Linked DNA regions of Mus musculus: regions 1 and 3 are each reported to be linked to region 2. Evidence: microRNA targets listed by miRTarBase, many of them from high-throughput screens and not tested one by one. Region 2 holds a microRNA gene; each other region holds the end of a gene's coding sequence.

The links. The annotated mature microRNA mmu-miR-539-5p reads GGAGAAAUUAUCCUUGGUGUGU and lies in region 2 at 2,278-2,299, shown strand. An mRNA with a match to its seed (bases 2 to 7 or 8) in the 3' UTR can be bound and repressed. Matches are read on the target gene's strand: a 7mer-m8 pairs with bases 2 to 8, a 7mer-A1 pairs with bases 2 to 7 and ends in A, and an 8mer does both.
Region 1: the mRNA of Ing5 is a reported target of mmu-miR-539-5p. Seed matches in the 3' UTR shown: 7mer-m8 at 2,871-2,877.
Region 3: the mRNA of Zfp42 is a reported target of mmu-miR-539-5p. Seed matches in the 3' UTR shown: 7mer-A1 at 883-889.

Annotation. Positions count from the first base shown.
Region 1 is chr1:93,817,236-93,824,432 of GRCm38, forward strand. It overlaps Ing5 (inhibitor of growth family, member 5), which reads left to right. Exons shown (of 8, transcript NM_025454.2): 8 at 1,046-4,866. The coding sequence ends at 1,088. It also overlaps a transcript of D2hgdh not described here. Among named protein-coding and RNA genes, the nearest start is that of D2hgdh, 4.4 kb to the right of the region's middle.
Region 2 is chr12:109,725,859-109,733,055 of GRCm38, forward strand. Mir539 (microRNA 539) reads left to right here and starts at 2,271; the gene lies at 2,271-2,344. Mir381 (microRNA 381) reads left to right here and starts at 964; the gene lies at 964-1,038. Mir487b (microRNA 487b) reads left to right here and starts at 1,475; the gene lies at 1,475-1,556. Mir544 (microRNA 544) reads left to right here and starts at 3,467; the gene lies at 3,467-3,544.
Region 3 is chr8:43,288,862-43,296,058 of GRCm38, reverse strand. It overlaps Zfp42 (zinc finger protein 42), which reads left to right. Exons shown (of 4, transcript NM_009556.3): 4 at 1-992. The coding sequence ends at 463. Among named protein-coding and RNA genes, the nearest start is that of Zfp42, 15 kb to the left of the region's middle.

The DNA of each region.
Region 1 (7,197 bases), not on the chromosome of region 2:
TGTGTGGTGTGAGTGTTAACCTCATGTTACAAGACCCATATGGCACTGTGCCTTGTGGGAATTGACTGGGCTGCGGTGGTGGTAGGCATGTGAGCAGGCGTGTAGCTGGGCTGCGGTGGTGGTAGGCATGTGAGCAGGCGTGTAGCTGGGCTGCAGTGGTGGTAGGCATGTGAGCAGGTGTGTAGCTGGGCTAGGGAAAGAGCGACCCTGTGAGGCGTGGGGTCTGACTTTGAGTTCAAGGTAGATGCAGTGAGTTGTTTGTGGGATTTCCAGGTGAGGGAGTCCAACCGCACTGGCAAAGCTGTTGGGGTGCTCCCTCTGAGAGTCTGGAGGCCTCACAGCCGCCTCATGTGCTGGGCCCAAAGCCAGACAGAGGAATTGGGGAGTGGGGTTCCAGTGCAGTCTTTGTGTAGCTTACCAGAATGGGCTTCCTCAGAGAGACACAGTCACTGTAGTACTGGCCTAGGTGCTCAGAGCGTCTTAGTACAGAGGGATGTGATGATAGCTGTTACGTGTGTTAGAGTTGTCTCTCACATGGGGAACTTATTAGAATGTCCCTTTGGGTCATGAGTGGCTATTACATTCTTGAGTGTTGGTGAACACTGAGTCTCTGATGTGTGTTTGTTCTGTGTGCTTGAACCATAGCACTGTGTGACCTGTGTGACCCATATAGGGCCCAGTCCAGCTGTGCCAGGAGCTGTTGTTCACTGGCTTACAGGCTCGTGTCTGTACATGTGGTCTTGAGTATGACCAATCTGCCAGCCAGCTATTGGTGTCAGCTCTATAGTGGACACCTCATATTATGGCCAGCCTTATCAACTTGATCCCAAGGCTGCGCTGATAGGTATTATTAGTCAGCTTCAGATATGCTCGAACCAGTAGTTGAAATGTCAGCTTTCCTCAGAGAAAAGAGCACCTCTTACTCAGTGTAGCTGCTCTATGGCACTTGGTTCCTAGAGTCCAGACACCCTGAGATATGCAGGAAGTCTACCTGGGGTCCTGTGCTCCAGGAGAAACGATGATCCCAACGCTTTTCTCGTCACAGGTTTTGTCCACGATGTGTTCAGGAAAAGAGGAAGAAGAAGTAAAGAAGAGGCTGTTGTGCCAGACTGAAGAGCAAGCTAATATATTTCCTCACTCATGTTGCAATATGATCTTTCATTTTAAAACTACCTTATTTTGACTGATATTTAATAATTCAGTGGCCAGTTGTAATTTTGGATATTTCCTAAAACAAGAAGCCGCTGCACCATTTGCACAGAACAATCTCACAGGGACTTGCCACAGTGACTTTAGGAGCAGGCTCCCCCATCCCACAACCTCCCAGCACTGGGAATGGCCACACCATCAGTGATGTGTGTCAGTTTGAGCTGTAGGCAAAGTGCATGGTGCAGGGTGAACGCATTTTAACCTGTTACACTGCCACTGCTTTGTGACTAGAGGGTCAGCCTTGCGTGTCCACGGTTTCCAGGACTGTCTGTGGCAGCATGGAAGCACAGCTGGTGCTCTGTGAGTAAAGTATTGTCAGGCACTGCCCCATGCTGTGCTCTGACCCTTACTGGAGACCAGGCACTCTTGGCCAAGATCCCTCTGACGTGTCTGGAAGGGACCGGGGGCTCTTCCCAGGTGGAAGTACCCTCTGTCGTTTTGTGCACCACCTTTTCCTGTGAACTTACGGCCCTCCCTGGAGATTGAGCTTCCGTTAGCCTTGGACTGTCAGTTACCACAGCCAGCACTGCCCAGCAGCGGACAGCCAGACAGCCAGGCTGAGCTTCCAGCTCTCTGGGGATTCCCGCCTATATTTTTTTACTGTGAAGATGAAATTATTGTACTAGCATGAAGGTCATGGGTCTGTGTGTCTATGAAGTGAGTCTGTCTACTGTGAGCTGATCGTAAGAACTCTGCTGTGCTGCATCCCACTAGGCCAGCAGCTTATGTTCAAGGGGACGATGATTATGTGACATGATTTGTGACTCTGTGCCCAATAGCAGTTCTGGAATGAAGGTAGGAAACTGGAGTGTACTCTTTGTTTGACCACTGTCCACAAAACCAGTGTTGAACTGTCTTGAAATATTGGGGGGATGTCTACCCGGGGCCTGTTGAGATGCATCTGTGGTGTTCCTTAAGAGCGACAGGCTCCTGAAAGCCACGGTTGACTTAGAACTCCTCTGGCATGTTCTTCAGTAACTCAGGCTCTCTGAGAAGAATTAAAAGAGTCCAACCGGTACCTGGCCTCACCTCAGAAAAAGACCTGCAAGACAGAGCTGGGTTATGCAATTTCTGATGTAAGAAGAGGCCGGCTCTTTATATAATGACAGGCACATTGTTTTCTTCTGATGGTCACAAACAAAGCAGAAGGGTGTTGTCTCTGCCCCATACCTGTGTCACCATGGTCATGTTCTTACTGGACAATGTCTTGCACAGCCTATCCTAGTGAAAGAGGAAGACAGGAGTGGCTTGTGTTTGTGCTACTGAATATGTTGGTCTGCGTTGACCTTTCCTGGGCTGTAGGTACCAGGCAGGTTAGCTGTCGTTGATAGGCAAGTGCACAAGATTGTCTCTAGGCTAGGAAGAGCTTTGGGAATGGGGCTGGCATTCTTCTTGGGGACCCCTCTCAGGGTCAGATTAGATAGACATAACTTAGCCTTTAAAAATTGTGAGGGACCCCCCTCCCCCAAAGACCAGATCTCATGTATCCTAGGCAGGCTTTGAACTCACAATGTAGCTGAGAATAACGTTCATCTTTTGGTCTTTCTTCACCTCCCAAATGCTGAGGTTATAGGTGTGCACCAATAGGTCTGTCTGGTTTTGCAATGGTAGGGACCAAACCCAGAACTTTTTTTTTTTTTTTTTTGGTTTTTCAAGACAAGATTTCTCTGTGTAGCTCTGGCTGTCCTGGAACCCACTGTGTATATGACTAGGCTGAACTCCAACTCAGAGATTCTCCTGCCTCTGCCTTCCAAGTGCTAGGACTAGAGAAGCATGCCCCACCACCGCCAGCTCCAACCCAGAACTCTTGAGTGTTAGGTAAGCCTTCTGCAGATTGAGTCACACCCCAGCCTTCTCTTTATTCTTCTACCATTTGTTCTCTTTCTTCAGTGCTTGGGGTCAGGCCTCATGCTTCCTTTTAATCTTAAATTTTAGATTATTTATTTATTTATTGGGAGGCAGGGCTTTATTATGTAAAAGACTAGCTTTGAACTTGCAGTCATCTTGCTGGAGCTAGGCAATGCTGGGACCACAGATGGCCGCCACTGTGTCTGGACTGCTTTTTACAGTTTCTGTAACTACAGGACGTTTTTAATCAGATCTTGCTTGGTAATGCCTTAGAAGCTGGGTTACTATGTGAGATTCAGCCTGAGGCAGCTGAGTCCTTTGATGATCAGGAAGAAGTGGCGTTTACTGGTGGCGGTGTTAGAGGCTGGATGAGTTCCATCTTCTGGCTTCCTGAGGTCATGCTGGCTCTTTCCCTGAGGTCTTCTACCTGGGGCCACCCTACATACTGGCTTCTGATTTTTATTTATTTTGTGAGTTCCTATGATTATCTCCTTTTTGACAGTTATAATGTCATGAAAATAAGATGCATATAGCTTGGCAAAAAAAAAAAAACAGAATTCGTGAGTTTGGGGATTTACCTCCATGGTGGAAAACCATGCCTAACAAGTGTGAAGTGTAATGTGGTATTGGCTGTATGTAGGTGAACAAAGCTGCCTTCCAAAAGTGATGGTCTAGGTTAGATCCCTGGCAACAAAATGGGGGGAAAACAGAAAGGAAAATCTGTGGGTTGTGGCTGGTATTCTGATGGAAGGCTTGTTCCCACTGCTTCTGTGTGTAAGCAAAGAGGGAACTTCAGGAGACGCGTTCCGGCACCAGCTCCGCCTCAGATGTGGAGAAGCCACGAGCACACCCCTCAGCCCTGCTCCAGAAGCCTGAGTGTCTCCATCGCTGGATCAGACACTCTCATGCCTGCTGGTCGAGACCTGGCTCTTAAGCTGTCCTTGCTTCATCAACAGACTGGCAGCTGCTTTGCCTGAGCCAAGGCTGGGTCTTCCCTGTGTAATTCCCCTTGTAAGTACAGGAGTGTTTTGCTGAGAGGAGGGGTCATCTTTCTTGTTTTCTGTGCACATTATCAATAGTTTATTATAGAAGAAGCATGATGAATTAGTAAAAAATTGAGCCCCTAGATCTGTGAACATGTTAGTGGTGTAATGGGTCCAAGCAGCACTGACCATTCGCCTATCCAGCAGGTGGGATCAGTAGGAGGCAGGCTGCCAGCCGTGTCTTCCACTCTACAGTGAAGAGCCCTGTAGTGTGAGGTTTTGTGGATGGCTGGGGAAGTGGGCACCTGCTTGCTCCTGTGTATACAGCATCTTGCCTTCTATCCCTCATTTGACCCCAGAAGGCCTTGGCGGGGATGCTTCATCCAGAGAGCAACTTCTCCATGTGATCACGGTGCCAGGGTTGGCCCTGTTAGAGGGCTGGGAGGTTAGGTAAGTCTTAAGGGTTTGAAATCAAACAGCGAGGAACCTTTGTTTCAGGCTTTGAAACTCTGTTTTCTATGAACAGAGATTGATTGGTCTTCACTGCCTATGCCCAAAGGAGCTTTAAAGCAGGGGAGGTCTAAGAAGTGTCTTTTCCCTCAGAATGTGCTGTGGTCGTTGCTCTTCGCCACACTCCATCCATCAGGATGATCCAGCTTTAACATGAATGTCACATTTTATTTTCAAGGAATTATTACCTATGTCCCCTTTGTAAAGGAGAGATACTATGGTAAATCTTTTTATTAAATAATGTAAAGATGTATATCTGTATTTTTGGATCATGGATTATGGATATATTGTTTAATAAAGTATTTTTGGGAAGAAACATTTGAAAGTAGATCATTTTGAAAACAGGTATGTTGATCCCTGTGCTATGTCAAAGGTGAGCATATGTCATGTTCAGTTACTCAAAGTCAAGGATGCCAAGGGGGACCCTATAGACCTAGGACCCTGAGTTTGGTTTTGGTTGGGTATTTAGGGAGGTCAGCGGCCAGTGCTGTATTTCCAGACTCCCAGGGAAGATGTGTGCATGAATGGGAGTACCAGGGGCTGCTTTATAAAGTAGTATTGAGGGGCTGGGATGTGTCTCAGTGGTAGAACACTTGCCTGGCATGTGCAAGGCCCTAGATTCATCCTCAGCAATGTGAAGGAAAGTACTGGGTCCCCTGGTGTGGGGACCTAGACCTGGGGAATTCTTGAGAACGTTAGCATCCCTCTGAGAACATCCTAGTCTGGTTGGGCAGTTTCCACACACATACACAAAAAGGCCCCAGACTGGCGCTTAGCAGAATTTATTTCCCACAGTTCTGAAGGTTTGAAATCAAGGTGTAAGCAAGGTTGATATCTGCTAAGGGCTATGTAGGCTGCTGCCTTCTCACTGTGCCCATGTGACAGTATGTGTGGCGCTGGGTAGAAAGGGAATTCTCTGGTATTTATCTCATTTTGTAGCCTTGACTATCTTGGAATTCTGGCCTGAAATCCCAACACCTGGGAAGTCAGACAGGTTGTTCCCTGAGCTGTAGGTAGCCTAGTCTACATAGCTAGTTGCAAGCCAGGCTGGCCAGTGTAGTGAGATACAGGACTCTGAGCATGCAAGGCAAGTGCTCTACCAACTGAGTTACACCCCAGTCCCCAGGATTTCTTTAAAACTGATCCTGAAGGTCCCAGCCATAAGCCCCTGCTTACCCTTAATTACAGACATGTAGACTCTGCCCCCAGTCAGGTTAGGGGCTAGGGCTTCCACATGCGAATCTGGGCATATCCATTACTGAGGCATCTTGGATATTTACTTGGCCAGTGCTGAGTTAACATGGTCAGCATGAGACCGAGCTTTGCATCCATCATGGGAAACACTTTGTCAGAGGCTGTGGTTTTAGGGGAAGGGTCCAAGATACTGCTGGCTTTGGTGATCGGGTACTGGGTGTTTAAAAGGACCAAATACGTAGGTGTCTTTCCTGAGCCTGTAACTGATTGTCTAAGGGTTACTAATGCTGTGATAAAACACCATGACCTTGGAGACACTCACAGTGCCACATTACTGTTCATCACCAAAGAACGTTAGGACAGAAACTCAAATAGGGCAGGATCCTGGAGGCAGGAGCTGATGCAGAGACCATAGAGAGGTGCTGTTTACTGGCTTGAGTTCATGGCTTGGCTCAGCCTGCTTTCATATAGAATTCAGGACCATTAGCCCAGAGAAGGCCCCACCCACAGTGGGCTGGGCCCTCTCCTATCAATCACTAAGAAAATGCCTTTTTTTTTTTTTAAAGGATTTATTTTATGTATGTGAGTACACCGTTACTGTCTTCAGACACACCAGAAGAGGGCATCAGATCTCATTACAGATGGTTGTGAGTTACTGGGAATTGAACTCAGGACCTCTGGAAGAGCAGTCTTAACCACTGGACCATCTCTCCAGCCCAAAAATGCCATTTTTTATTTTTTAAAGGGAGGGTCGTATTGGAGGTATTTTCTCAACTAAGATTCCTTCCTTTCAGATAACTCTAGCTTGTGTCAAGTTAACAGAACTGTCCAGTACATTGACAGTCTTGATAACTTCTAAATACCCTCAGTGGCCTATGGAGTATGGGCCAACTTGGTAGAAACAGCCCAGTAGAAGCCTCTGGAATGTCCTTTCAACTAGTATGTGTTAACCATGTCCCAATGCCCCTGTCTGATAAACCTGGGAGGGTGAGCAGACCTGAGGGAATTGCTCTTCTGGAGGTACAGCTGTACCTTGATCCCTCCCAGCACACACTGTGTAGCTGTTGATCCCTAAATGCTGCATTCTCTTTTCTTTTTGGTTTATCTGTGTAGTTCTGGCTGTCCTGGAACTTGCTCTGTAGACCAGGCTGGCCTTGAACTCAGAGAGATCTGCCAGCCTCTGCCTCCCAAGTGCTGCGATTAAAGGCATGCACCACCACCACCCAGCATATTCTTATATCCAGTTTGCAAGGACTACCACAGTGCCTTGGCTTTTAGTTGGCACCACTATACCTCTCTGTTCTTGCCTCAGCTTCAGGAGCCTCCTGCTCTTCCCTGGTACAGAGATCTAAAGTAATTATCTTAACATCTTAAAGAAGGTACTTCCAGGCTTGTTCCTCGATGGGAAACGGAAGTGGTTAAGTTGGGAGAAGTGACAGTTTCTGGAGCTGCC
Region 2 (7,197 bases):
TGTTTGTACCAAGCCATCTCCAGAGCCTTGTTGCTCACAGCATTCACCTTAGAAGATAAAGCATGATGTTAGACTATCCCAGCTTTGATACAAGTACTGGTTTATACATCTTTATTTATAATGATTTCAGGCCTGGTCCACCCCTCTCCAAGTGAGGACTTCCTGGAAGTGGTGTCTGTCTTTGGGAAGAGGCTGAAGTTTCCCATTCCGTGCGGTCTATCTGGTGTTCTTCTGTGGCTATACCTAGATCAGAAGGGGGCAGTTTTAACAGCCCGCACCTATGGAAGCAACCCATCCCGTCAAAAAAAGGTGAGTGTTTTTCCTTGCCATGATTCAGTGCAAACCTGTGGCCATTCCTGCCTGCTCTTTTCTGGGGAAGAGGTCCCAAAAAGGAAAGATGGTTCCATCATTCAGTGGCATGTGGAGTTTGACCCCTGTATGGCATCAACTTCCTTCTAGTTCTGTCCCATTCCACTATCGGGCAGAATTAGTGGGGCAGGGTCCGGTCCTGGGAGTGACACTGATACCCGTTACTGGGAAGGCAGAAAGGATTGGCTTTAATCACTTCTATAAATTCCTGGGGTCCTCCTGTCCTCTGTGTGCAGTGTACAGCCAGGTGGGCATCATAGAGAAAGTGCTAAGGATAAGATTGTAGTCCTAACCAGGGTTTACCTACAGAAAGCAAAAATCTGAGTTCTGTATTTCCTGAGAGAGTGAAAATCTCAATCTGTTGTAACATCTGCCAGTAATATCAGAAAAAGGTCCCCCCCACCCCCCAAGTATCTGTCCCAGCCCAAGCTCCTTGGATGGAGAGCTGACCAGTGGGCACACATCTGGCAGGTGGTGTTTGCCATGTAATTGGCTGATTCCGAATCTCCCATCATCCCTCCCCAGGCTAAGTCCCAGGAGACGAGGCTGACCCCGTGAATGCTAGAGCGGAACCTGCCCCATGCTATTGTTTGGTACTTAAAGCGAGGTTGCCCTTTGTATATTCGGTTTATTGACATGGAATATACAAGGGCAAGCTCTCTGTGAGTATCAAACCTTATCTTGGATCCCGTCCACACTCAGCGAGGGATGTGGTATGTGTGTGCATGACCGTGTGTATCCATCTTGTGTGTGACAAACTGCTTCCTGGGTTTCCTTTATGCACCAACGGCTTCATGGGCGCAAGATGACTTCAGGAAAGACCTCGGGTACATCCCCTCTCCTTGTCCATATGGGTTGGTCCCAAAGCATGCTCTCTGTGTGTAGCCTGGGTCCCTGCTTTCCCAGGCTGATGGTCAGGTCTGTGCTGGTGTGGGCCGTTGTTTTTTGATGTGCTGCCGTGCCGTGGTACCCAAGTGTGCATGTTCTTGCTTGGTGTGTGTGACCCAGTCTGCTAACGCTCAGCGTCTAATTCGTCCCCAGGACCCTACCTGGAAGACGTAGCACGTCTACCTGAGGCGGTGGCTTTGCTTTCCAGGCCGAGCTTTGGTACTTGGAGAGTGGTTATCCCTGTCCTCTTCGCTTCACTCATGCCGAATCGTACAGGGTCATCCACTTTTTCAGTATCAAGTGCGCAGACTCTGCAGCCTGGCTTCCTGCGCCTGGATCCTGCCACTGCCACTTCCCATCACACATCCTTGGACAAGGGTGTCGCCGTGTTATGCTCCTTGTCTCGTGTGTCACTCGCGAGTCCTCTTGGGGTCCAATGCATATGGCTCTCGGGGGCTGGGAGAGATCAGGCTCTTGTAGGGACTAGGCTCATTATTGACCATGTGCCAGCCCAAACTTTTGTCTGCTGGGAGCTGACTGCTGGCAGCTATGATGGTGATATACAAACCTCTCCTTGGATTTGGGAGCCCATGTTGAGACAGACATTCTCTGTCAGTCATGTGAGTGGGTGTTGGAGCTTAGAGTTTGTGCTGGACTTACAAGGTGGTGCTTGTGACTCGGCAGTGACATCATTTCTGTAGCAGCTTCTAGAACAGAAGACCCCATGCCGGGGGTCAGCAGGGCCACCCACAATGCTTGCTCCACTTAAGATGGACACTGCCTGGCTTCTTGACCCCAGCCACCATTACCCTTAGAAGAGGCTAACGTGAGGTTGTCATGCTGAGTCCTGGGGAGTCATTTCTATAGCCTCTCACCTCCCTGGTGCTTAGAATGGCCATCAGTAGTACTGCATGCATGGTGCATGTATGTATTGGGTGCAGCCACGTGTGAGGAGTGGTGATCACTCCCAAGAGGCCTATGGATGCTGGTATTCCTGCTGTGCTACTGTTTCATACTTGAGGAGAAATTATCCTTGGTGTGTTGGCTCTTTTGGATGAATCATACAAGGATAATTTCTTTTTGAGTATCAAATACTGCCCTGGTGGACTTCCGGGATGACGAGACGGTTGTTTAAAGAGGTGCCTGGTGCATGATGCATGGGTTAGCCTTACCTGGGCACAAGGCAAGAGAGCACAGAACTGATGTGTAAGAGCTACACTCTGATCCCAAGTCAGGATCTTGCTTGAAGAGTCCAGGGGTTCCTACGTGGCTTGGTCATGGTGAGATAGCACAGTTTTCATGACTTGGCAAATCGTTCTTTTTTTTTTTGGATGGGCAGCCAATCTCACAGATAGTCACTGGGGTCAGGCCCCGGCCCCTTGCTCAAGAGTGTGACTGGTTCCACAAGCATGTGCTTGAATGACAGAGGCCGGCGAGCTGTCTGGTCTGGATCGTGAGAGGAGGTCCTGCGGTTTTTCTCGGTGCGGTGGTTCTCTGACATTTGCAGGGTGGCTATCAATAGTGTGCTCGCCATATTTATGGAGATTAATTGGGACGACCATTGTTTGCCCCATATCTGGATTTGCTTCCGAAGGTCCTAGAGCACAGTGGTGACTTCAGCTAATGGACATTGGTACCTGCTGCAGGAGAGGGAGAATTTATTGAGGCAGAGTAACCTCAGAAGGCACCCCCCCCCCCATGTACTCTCACAGTGACAGCTTTGAGGTGGCAACAGCTTTGGTGGCTTGCTTCTTTGTGCTTGGTCTGGAGAACACTGAGAATAACTCACCTGTCTGTTGTTGCTGTTAAGTCTTAGTTCAGAGGAACTCCTTGAGAAGGTACTGGGTCAAGCATCTCTTTAGGTAGACAGAACTTGGCCAGGGTCTTCTAGGTCCAGCACCCACTCTCCTCAGCATCCATTCTGAGCATAGACTTCCTGTGGTTAATACAGGTGTTAATAAGGATACTTCCTGCCGCCGCCGCTGCCTTAAGTCACTCTCTATCTGTTCCTATGGCTTCCTTTGGGCTGACTTTTTCTTAGACATACCTGGTCAATAGCATACCATTTCAGCTCATTCCATAATCTGGTGTGTGTGTGTGTGTGTGTGTGTGTGTGTGTGTGTGTGTGTGTGTGCCTGCATGCATGCTTGTACAAATTGTTGGTTAGTGTAGGGCCTCTCAAACTGCTCAACGCTGCTAAGATATTCGTCACCTAGGGATCTTGTTAAAAAGCAGAGTCTGATTGAGGGGCCAAGATTCTGCATTTTTAGCAAGCTCTCAAGTGATGCTAATGCTGCCGGTCCGTGGACAACACATGTAGCCACTGGGGGCTGGAGGTGATGTTGCATGTTCCTTGTAGTGTGTGTGCTCCATCTCCTCCATCCACCCCGCATTATCCATCATGAGTGAGCATTGAGCCAATATGCTACCTTTTGATGATCAAACTGTGGTCAGTTGTGAAAGGCCACCTGCTGTACAAACACCATTATTGATTATTGATTATTCTTTCAAATCAAAGCATGCCTCTATGGGCTTCCCAGATATAAGAGCTACTTCAAGGAGGGGCTGCCTATGTCAGCCAACAGCAGGACTTGTCAGCACCAGGTTATTGGTGACTGAGACCATCTGACTCTGTAACTCTCCATTTCCAGTCAATTGTAAGGAGCACAGTTCTGGAACCACAGCTTCTGGGGAAGGAGGAGTCCTATCTGTCGTATCTACCAGCAACCCTCGACGTTATCGAGAGAGGTAATGCCCATGGTGCCATTGCCCTTCCATGATATTCGGCCAGCTGCTGGCTTCTTGCCATCCAGCTTACCTCTCAGGGAGGACCAGATAGACTTCCATTTTGTTTCTAAATTGACCTGCCTTAGGAAGCTCTTGTGGGAATGAGTTTTTCCGTCAGACCAGATTTTAGCCCTAGGACCAATGTGTAGCAGTGAGTGGTTGCTGTCAGCTCATGTGCTTTCTTACAGACTATGGGAATTCACCTCTCAGAGTCTAGGAATTCAATTTGTCATTGGAAGAATCTTCTGGAAGGAGAGAGGACAGTAGACAAGAGGCCCCGGTTTTCCTGTCAGAGATCTCTGAGAATATTTGAGGTCATTCATGTTCTGTTTGCTTATTGTGAACGAGACACAGTTAGCTTCCTTTTGACTATCAAACTCTGCTTTTTTGAAGGGCCCCCTGCACAAGCGATATGAGACTGCCTGCCTTGTGTGAGCCTTGGATGAGCCCTGCAGCTCCTTCGAGATGCTCCTTGGATATTCCTGATGGAGAAGACCAACCCCGAGGAAGCTTGGTCCTGCTTGCGATGAGCTTGCTGTGCTTTCACGGACACCCTTCGTTTCTTCTACCAGTTTTCAGTGCCAGGGTGCGCTTGAAAGGAGAGCTGATGCCAGGGCTATAGCCTTCCCCAGCCAGAGCATGTGGGCCAAACCCTTTCTGGATGGCTAGGCAGTGGGGAGAAGCCATGAGATGGTTGAGAAGTAGTCACAACTCCCCTGGGGACAGACTGGTTTTCAGGGTTACATCCATTCAAAAACACCCCCCGGAATTCAGGCTTGTGAAAGACAAGCTAACTTGACCCTGTTCCTTTGTTCTCACTGAGGTCCTGTCCCTGGCATCCCCTTCCTCCTGTGGACACCACTGAGGTGCAGACACTACCCCGATGGGGCTTCCCGTCCTGCTGTTCGGCTCTGGAAGAGACTTGATTCCTTTTCTTTTTGTGCTGGTGGAGATCACACACAAAAGGTAAGATGAACCCAGCTGTTTGGGATTCTGGAAGAAGGAGGTTGGCCTGTATCCCTGCTGTAAGGGAAGATGCTGTTCTTGGGCGTCTCCCTTTCAGGGATGATGCCGGTGGCGGACAGGAAGCCCAGCTCCTGCCGCCTGGATGACTCTTCCCTTGGTGGGGACCAATCCTGGATGGAATCAGTTCAAGATGGATGCCAGCTTCATACAAGAGCCCTATCAGGATTGGCCTGAGGTCTGTAAGAGTATATTTGGCCCAGGTAAATCCAGGTGCTAGGGATATCTGATACCCTATAGCACATGCACGCCATCTTTAGGGCATTTCTGAGGTCAGGATGCTTCAGCTCTCACCCCTGCTTCCTCTCTTTGCCAGAGAGAAGTGCTATCAGCTACTAAAAGTGAATACTAAATGGCCTATCTATGTCAGAGGGAAGCCCAAAGCCCAGGAAGAAATGATGGACCAGAAACAACAGGACATGCTCGTAAGGTCACAGGCTTCTTTGTTCCAGACTCTCAGCACCCAGGCTACCCTAGTGAGGTCCCCAGAATTGAATGCACGTTAATCCCCCTGCCTCAGACTTTGGGAATAGGCTATTCTGAGCTTAGAGTTCTTCCAAAAGAACAATTTTCTCCTGAAGTATCTATTCAGCACCCCTCCCCCACCCACCCAACCCCTGCCCAAATCTATGGTTAGCTTTCTTGATGCTGAGTCCTATAAGGGAATATTGATCTTATTGAGGAAGGGCTATTGACCTCAGCCAATTCAGGGACAGTTGTTCACTTGGCTAGAGGGAAAAACAAGGTGTGTAGCCAATTCTCCTAACATTTGCTCCTCAATCCATTCTTAGGAAGACTTGCTGCATGGTGGATGGCCCAGAGACGGCGGGGCTCACAGATGGTCACGTTTAGTGCTTGCAGATTGGTAATGCCTGTGCCCTTGGCTTTGTTTATTCTGGTCAACCAGTTGTCAGTGCTGCCATCGAGGGCTTTCTGGACAGCATGGCACCTTCCGTAAGGAGACCTTGGCTTCAGTAGCTAGTCCAGGTATGTACAATGACAGTCACACACTCGCATTATGATGTATAGCGGTGCTGTGCTTCCTGACAAGAACCTAACCACTGATGAAAGGGTTGTGATATTTGGGAGGGTGCTGGTATCATTTCCAGACCATCATGGGAGGGAGAGAATCATGCAGCAGATAATGTGTGTCTCCTGCTTTGGGTGAGCCCTACTCCTTGATGATTTGAATAAGTCTGTGGAGTCAGGCGAGTGTAAGGGTGTTCTGGTGTTACCCTGGTAGAAACACGAGTATCAGCTGGCACGTAATTGGTCACTCTTCCTGCTTTTGCTCCAGAGATGATTCCTTGACCGACACATCTTGCTGACAAATGTCGGGCTGTCTTGCTTCATAGTGGGAAGTTCACTGGGAACTACCTGGGTTTTGTTTCTGATGCCTAGCACTTGGCTTGCTCCTCTGCAGGAGAGTTGTTATCCTAACGGATGCTGGGAGAAGGCTGAGGTCTTCCCATGACCCTCTTTGGGGATTTTTGATTTTATTTAAGTTAAATTTTTTTTCAAAAGTTAAATTCTTATTAATATCCCAACTTCATGCTCCACAAATTGGTCAAGAACAGTGACAAGAGAATCCATGCGGGCTGTTGTGCAGGTTTTAGAGAGCTGATAAAGATATCACGAGGATGAGCAATCTTCCCAACTGGAAGAGTGGAGACTGGGGGTGCTCTTAAAGTAGGGCTAGCCGGTGTACCCAGGGACTGGATGAGCCAACATCAGATGTGAACATGTAGGAAGAGGAGGGGCCAAAGTAGTACAACCGTAATGTTGGTGGAACCACAATCCCTGAATGATTCGGTGGGCTGCAGGGAGCATCCTTGCTGCTATCATGGCTATCTCAGCTAAGGCAATGACCCTGGATGCTCTGAAAGGCTGCTAAGATGGAAGAAAGGGTAACAGAAAATGAGGAAGTCATAGGACCAATGTTGGGGATCTTGATGATACATCAACAAATGAATGTTACACTGGGAAACAAAATAGAGGTGGGGTACTACCGCCTGCTAGCCAGAACTGTAGGAAATAAGATGAATACTTTCCATGTCCTCAGGAGAGAGCCAGGTTTCCATCACGGTGAAAGGTGGGGCCATGGAAAAGAAGTGAAGCCCCAAGGGACTT
Region 3 (7,197 bases), not on the chromosome of region 2:
CACGCAAGAGACGCCTCCGCTGAGGGTTGGGGCGAGCTCATTACTTGCAGGCGGCCCTGCAGAGAAGCCAGAGGGCGGTGTGTACTGTGGTGTCTTATCGATGCTGGAGTGTCCTCAAGCCGGGTGCAAGAAGAAGCTGAGGGATAAAACCGCCCTGAGGAAGCACATGCTTGTCCACGGGCCCCGGCGGCACGTGTGTGCAGAGTGTGGCAAAGCCTTCACGGAGAGCTCGAAACTAAAGCGACATTTTCTGGTGCACACCGGAGAGAAGCCGTATCAGTGCACGTTCGAAGGCTGTGGGAAGCGCTTCTCCCTGGATTTCAACTTGCGCACCCATATCCGCATCCACACCGGGGAGAGGCGCTTTGTGTGTCCTTTTGATGGCTGCGAGAAGAGCTTTATTCAGTCAAATAACCAGAAGATTCACATCCTAACCCACGCAAAGGCCGGGAAGAAATGCTGAAGGTGGAGACAGATTGTCCTCAGGCTGGGTAGTCTTAATGACAGAGGCACTGGGGATACACGCATTATGTACAGATTGTTATTTGTAGGGATAGATTCTATGGCTAAAATAATTTTGCAACTCTTCATTATACAGTTTTAAGGCCTCTTTTGGTATTCCATGGTATAGTTCCAACAGGAAAGTCAATGGTGAAAGCAGTTTCAAAAGCATAACCCTTACTATATGTGCTATTGAAGGGGATGGGGACTTTTGCATACGTCGGAAAATCAGTTATTTTTAACTATGCAGTTCCTAATTGCCTAGCTTTTACCTTTAGAAATATGCTTCATGGTAAATTTGATAATCCTAAAGAATGGCCAACTTTGGCAGTAGTCAACAAATGAATACATATTTCTAAATTTTATGTTTTGATTTTTGTTTTTCTCATTGTACCAAACTATATTAATCATAGTTAAATGTGAATAGTTACAAAAAAGTTGATCCATCTGAAGATTTTAGATGTTTCAAAATAAAAGGAAATAAAACACTAGAAATGAGTTCAATTTCTGGGGAAAAAAAAGTGCATTAAGAAGACAATAGCCAGTCATAGTGAGTGGTTCATAGCACTCAGGAGGCCGAGGCAGGCAGATCTTTGAAATTGAAGCCAGCCTGGTCAGCCCTGCCTCTGGGCTCAGCTAAAGCTCTATAGAGGTACCCTGTCTCAAAAAAAGAGAGACAGACACAGAGCACTTCAGAAAGGGTGGGGTGTGGTGGTATACATCTTTGATCCCAGCATCCAGAAAGTATAGGCAGACAGATCTCAGTGAGTCTGAGACCAACCTCGTTCATACACAACAGCAAATGTCATGTCAGCTCAGCCAGAACTAACAATGAGACTTTCCCAAAGGAGAGTGACTAGCATTCAATATTGATACACCAGTCCATTAGGGAGAGGTTGTCGAAGCTATTTTGCTATCATTTCCAGGCGTTCTCTCAAACTTTTGAAGTCCACCAGTCCACAATGACAAAAAATCTACCTCAAACACCAGAAATGTATGCTCTTGTAGTTATGGAGGCTAGGAAGCCACCAGTCTAAAAGCAAAGGATTGCTCTCCTGAGTGGTGGACATTCATGTTATGAGTTTACTACAATCAAATAGTACTTCCCAGAACGGGCCAAGATTTTGTTTCCCACTGTGCTGTGTCATGGAGCATCATTGGCCCCTCCTGTTTCTTTGTGCTGAGTAACGCTCCGCCCTGAAGACCTCCTCTTACACATCTATGAAAAGACCTCTCTTCAGATAAGATCACATGATCTGGTTCCGAAGTCCTGGGAGTTCAAGGTTTTTTAATGTCTGAATATTGAGGAGGATACAAACCCATAAATTCTGTGCAGTCCTCTTGGCCCAGTCATTTTTATTTCTAGAGTTCTTTAGAAGTGCTTAGAGTCATGTTTGAAAGTATTTCCTCAAGGATATTAAGGAAGTTCTATTTGATTGTGGTAAATTCATAACATAAATGTCCACTCAGTAAAAACATTTACCCTAAATCATGCTAGGTCTCCTCAATGAAATATGCAAATGCTTTAAAGGACCCTACAAAGGGAAATGGGGAAAAGGGTCATGTCGAGAGGGGACCCATAATTAAGGAGCTTTGTTGTTTATAATAGATAGGATAAACTTGAGTGCATGCTAGGAAAGGAATTCGAAGCAGTTAAATGCGGACAAAGGAAAAGGTAGTGAGGAACTCTATTATAGGATTAACTTATTTGTATTTGTATAGTTGTGAAGTGAAATGAGAAAATGAGCATCCATTGAACCTGCACCCCCACCTGCCAGTCAATGTAAGTGACTTGGTTCTGGTAAAAATGCCACAGTTCAGCTTTAGTTAGATGCTACTTTTTTGAAGATTCACCATATCCCTGGAAGTTAAAGCACATATTTTAGGAAAAGAAAAAGGGATGAATGACGACTATCAATTAATCTTGATTTCTTTATAAATGCCAAAGTTTAAAAGCAACCTGTCTTTGAAAAATCAGAGCCTATAGTTTGACTTCAATGTGAAGTTTTTGCTAATATGGACTATTACAGAATGTTAACTAGTATATATTTGGTAGGACAATTCTATCATTTTTATAGGAATGTGGATCCTGAAACTCTAGATTAATATCAGTAAAGTAGTGCACAAAAGCCATTCATAAATTTCAATTTTCTTCTAAATCTAACACCTGCATACAGAACTTAAGGCAAGTTTAATCAAGGTGATGGATCATGTGCCTAGCTGGTGTTTGCTTCTGCCAGCCTTGTGTCTGACTCCATCCTTTATGGATTCTAGTTTCAGAGTAAAGATTAAAGACCAACCAGAAGATGCAGAGATTAGGGAGCAGGCTCTTCAGACTGGAGCCTCAGAGCACTCAGAAGGGTAAGGTTGGCTCTCCTTGTAAAGGTGGGTCTGCTCTGAGCTCCTTTCACGAGAAAAAGTCTCTAGAAGTTACAAGATGTTCCTATCTGGATTTTGAGGCCTAGAAAATGGGATTTTATGTGTCTAGCGTGGCCCTTCTGTCTCTTCTCCCCGAAGATGTAGGTGGAATAGCAAAGGTAGAGGACATGGAAAAGAGGCTAGGTATTGAGGGGTCACACTTGGAATACTTTCTAGTGTTTTAGTTTTTATTTTATGTGCATTGGTTTTGTCTGCATGTGAGGGTATTGGATCCCCTGGAACTGGTGTTTAGAGCTGCCATGTGGGTACCAGGGTCCTCTGGAGGAGTAGCCACTGAGCTATGTCTTCATTTTTTTTTTTTAAGTATATGACATTTTGCCTTCATGTATGTCTGAGCACCATGTGAGTCCAATGCCTCTAGATGGCAGAATGGAACATTGGTTCCCTGGGAACTGGACATAGAAAAGATTATGTGGGTGCTGGCAATTGAACCCAGGTCTTCTAGAAGAGCAGGCAATGCTGGGAACCACAGGGTCAAGCCCCCAGCCCTTTTGTTAATGTTTTACAAATGAATGTACACATACTTTCCACATTTGTGTTTTACATAAGAAACATCCAAGCAAAATGAAAGGAGTTGATCCATGTAGAATTTGACATGAATCCAGATGCTACCGTTTAGTCAGCTCCACAGCTAGCAGACATGCACACTTGCACAGCCGAGATTTTCCTACACAACTGAGAGCTTATTTTGTCAAGTCCTGTTCCTCTGCCTCCCTACTTTTGATTAAAAAAGTATACTATTTCAGCCTGGTATGGTAGCATGCGTTTACACCCAGCACTGCAGAAGCAGGGGCATGTGGATCCCTGAAAGGCCAGCCTGGTCTACCAGGACAGTCAGGGTTATACAGAGAAACCCTGTCTCAAACCACCTCACCACCACAAAAATAAGTATTTGGTTTTATTCTTTGTTTAAACATATATTTTGCTGTTGATAGTCAGTGGGTTTTTTTTGTTTGTTTGTTTGTTTTGTTTCTACTATAGTGGAGTCCAAGATTTTCCACATTACAAAAGGCTGTATGAACTTCAAGCACTAATGCCAGTATGTGTTGCTTCTACACCTTGGGTATTCTGAACAGCCTTAAAGGCAAGGGTGTCAGGATGTAAGAGTGGGATGGCTAGGTTACATAGAAACCCTGCTTAGACTTTGTTTGTTTCATTTTGTTTTGTTTTGAGGACCCCCCTAAGCTGTCTTCCACAACAGTTCTCCACACACTGTTGTGATTACAGAAGTAAGACGACTTCCTTGTGTTTCTCTTATCCATTTTTATGGAGGATTATTTATTTGCTAATGAGCTGGGAATTCTTGTCCTTGTATATTTTAATACCTATCAGAAGCATGCAAGTATTTTCTGCAAGTTTGCCGAGTACATTTTAATTTTGTTGATAGTTTTTTTTAGCTGTGTACAAGTTCTTAAGTTTCATGAAATTCCACTAATTTTGCTTTGTTTTTGTGTGTTGTGGTCGTGGTGGTAGTTTTTGGTTTGGCTTGGTTGGGTTTTGTTTTTTTTGAGACAGGGTTTCAATGTATAACCCTGGCTCTCTTGGAACTCACTCTATAAAGCAGACTGGCCTTAAACTCAGAGCCACCACGTGCTACCTCCAAAGTGCCTCTGTGACGCAGTTGTTGCTGTTTTTAACCTACGAGCAAGGGATGTCTTTTCATTTCACATACTTTTCAGTTCCAGTAATAGTTATAATTTTCTGTGTATGGTTCTTTCCTTGCTTAAATTTCTTCCAAAGTATTTTCATGTAACCATAAGAAAAATATCAGTTTTTTCTTAGATTAGTGCCAGGGTAGAGAAATGTAACTGAACAAGCTAAAAATCAGTGTTAATGTAGATCCTTTCTCTAACACTTAACAGATAAACTGGGTACCGCTCTGCAGAGGACTCGGGTCTTTGTCCAACACCCACACCAGGTAGCTTCCAGCTAACTGCCTATAACTCATTTCCAGGTGACCCAACACTCCTTGACCCCAGTGAGCAAGCACCTGTGCAAGTGTGGTGGTACACATGATGTATATACATAACCATTTTTTAAAAGAATGACTTCACATAGCATGTGAAACATCTACACTGTTCCACTCAGCAGAGACTTTTGACATTGGATCCTGGCTGCCCTGGATCTCACTGTGAACCACCATGCCCAGCTTGTCCGGCTCCTATATGATTCTCCTACCGGGTGTATGTATGTGCAGACATCCGTGTGCACTCGTGTAGTAATTACCCCATGCAATGGCTCTGACTGAATAAACTGCATGATTACATCCTGCATTGGACACAGAACAGTGCAAGTTACATTAAAAACCCATTATATTTGCAACTCCAAGCAAGAACTATAATTAAAAGGCAATTGGATGAAATTAGCTTTAAGAGTACAAGAGCTTAAGCAAGCTTTGGTAAATGAATGTTAATGGTTAGCATGTGGGTTTTATTAGGGTTTTTGTTCCTTTTCTCTGTGACCCAAGAGTTGAATTTCTTAGATGTCAGTGGGCCAGATATGAAGAACACCTGTACCAAGCTGTGCTTTACCATATGGCTAAAGTCATATCCATAAAACAAGCTAACATAACTTTTGTGACTTTAGTAAATCAAAGGTATTAGGTAGCCTTCAATGATGCCCCGGGCATTAATAAACTATTCTTAGCACTCCTAAGATCATAGTTGCATGCCATAAAAAGATAGTACATGCTCCCTCCAACTCAAAATGATGGTCATAAAATACACATACAAATCAAAGAAGCAGTAAAACTGGGAAGAATTTTGATAATCATCACCATTAAACGCCAAAATGCTGCACACTATGTGTAATTACATCCTATTTTCTAAGAAAATTGGTGCCTGTCCAAACTGCTGATCACTAAGCATGGGAACATTTGTGTGTGTAGAAATGCTTTGGGTCTTGTCAAAACTGCATTCTAGAACTTTCCATCCTTGATTTGGTAAAGACGGCAGCAAAAATCTTTGCCATTCCTCCTATTAAAGCCTAAGGTTTCAGGTCACAGCCCATGCCTGCTCTCCCTAATTCTTCTGAAAGGTGAGGTAGAAGGACCAAAAATTCATGGCTAAGCTGGGCAACTCAGACCTTTTCTCAAAATTTTATAAAGGAGTTAGAGATACTTGTCAGTACCAAAGCCCTTGTTTGTGGGTGCCACACAAGGCCAAACTGGAAGCTGCAGCCGTGGTCCTGGGGATGGAGGGAGCAGAGACCACTGGAAGGACTTGGATAGGAAGGATGGCAAAAAAGATCAAGACTCCAGATCTGCACCTGAGCCAAAGAAACCTGAGGAGATTCCGGCCTCCGAGTTCAGCTCTGCAAGCAAGCACGCTGCTCTGTCTCTGGATGGCGAGGATGAGGAGGAGGGTGACGACTGCACTGAGTAGGCTCTGGGCTCAAAAAAGAGTAAGGTCTTGGTCTAAGGATGGCTCAGTAGTAGAGAGATTGCTTAACATCCTCATGGCTCTGGGTACTACCCTTAGCACTTTATACCCCTAAATTAAATATAGGTAGATAACTTTTCACATAAGAGTTTAGCTAAAGGGATCTGCAACCCTATAAGTGGGACGACAATATGAACTACCCAGTAGCCCCCAGAGCTCGTGTCTCTAGCTGCATATGTGGCAGAAGATGGCCTAGTCGGCCATCAGTGGAAAGAGGCCCATTGGTTGTGCAAACTTTATCTGCCTCAGTACAGGGGAACGCCAGGGCCAAGAAGTGGGAGTGGGTGGGAGGGTGTGGGGGACTTTTGGGATAGCATTGGAAATGTAAATGAAATTTAAAAAAAAAGAGTTTAGCCTTTGGATATATATGTCAACCAGCTTAATTTAATCAGCCCACATCATATTCATAAACTATTACATCACTTTGTACCATATGCTTATACAATGAAAAATTATCAATCTATGACTATTAGTATTTGTAAAGCTATAAAGTCTGCCTACCCTGCTACCCTTAGTGTATAAGAGCCTGAGTAGCTATTCTCACTTGAAACACTTAAGAATAACATCCTGGATGAAGTCTGAGACCTTGCCTGGATAAGACGTGTGTAGGAGAAGATGACAGAAGCTAGACAGCCAGGGGTACCAAACATGAGGTAAGGAGCCATTTTGGGATGGTCACCTATCACCAGCACAGGAGGTATCCTGGTCTGTCTTGAGAGACAAATTGAATGGTCCTTTGTGAAATTTCAAACTCACTAAGTGACAAAATAAAATGGCTTTTCCAGATGTTTAAATTTGGGGGTTAGTTATATAACAG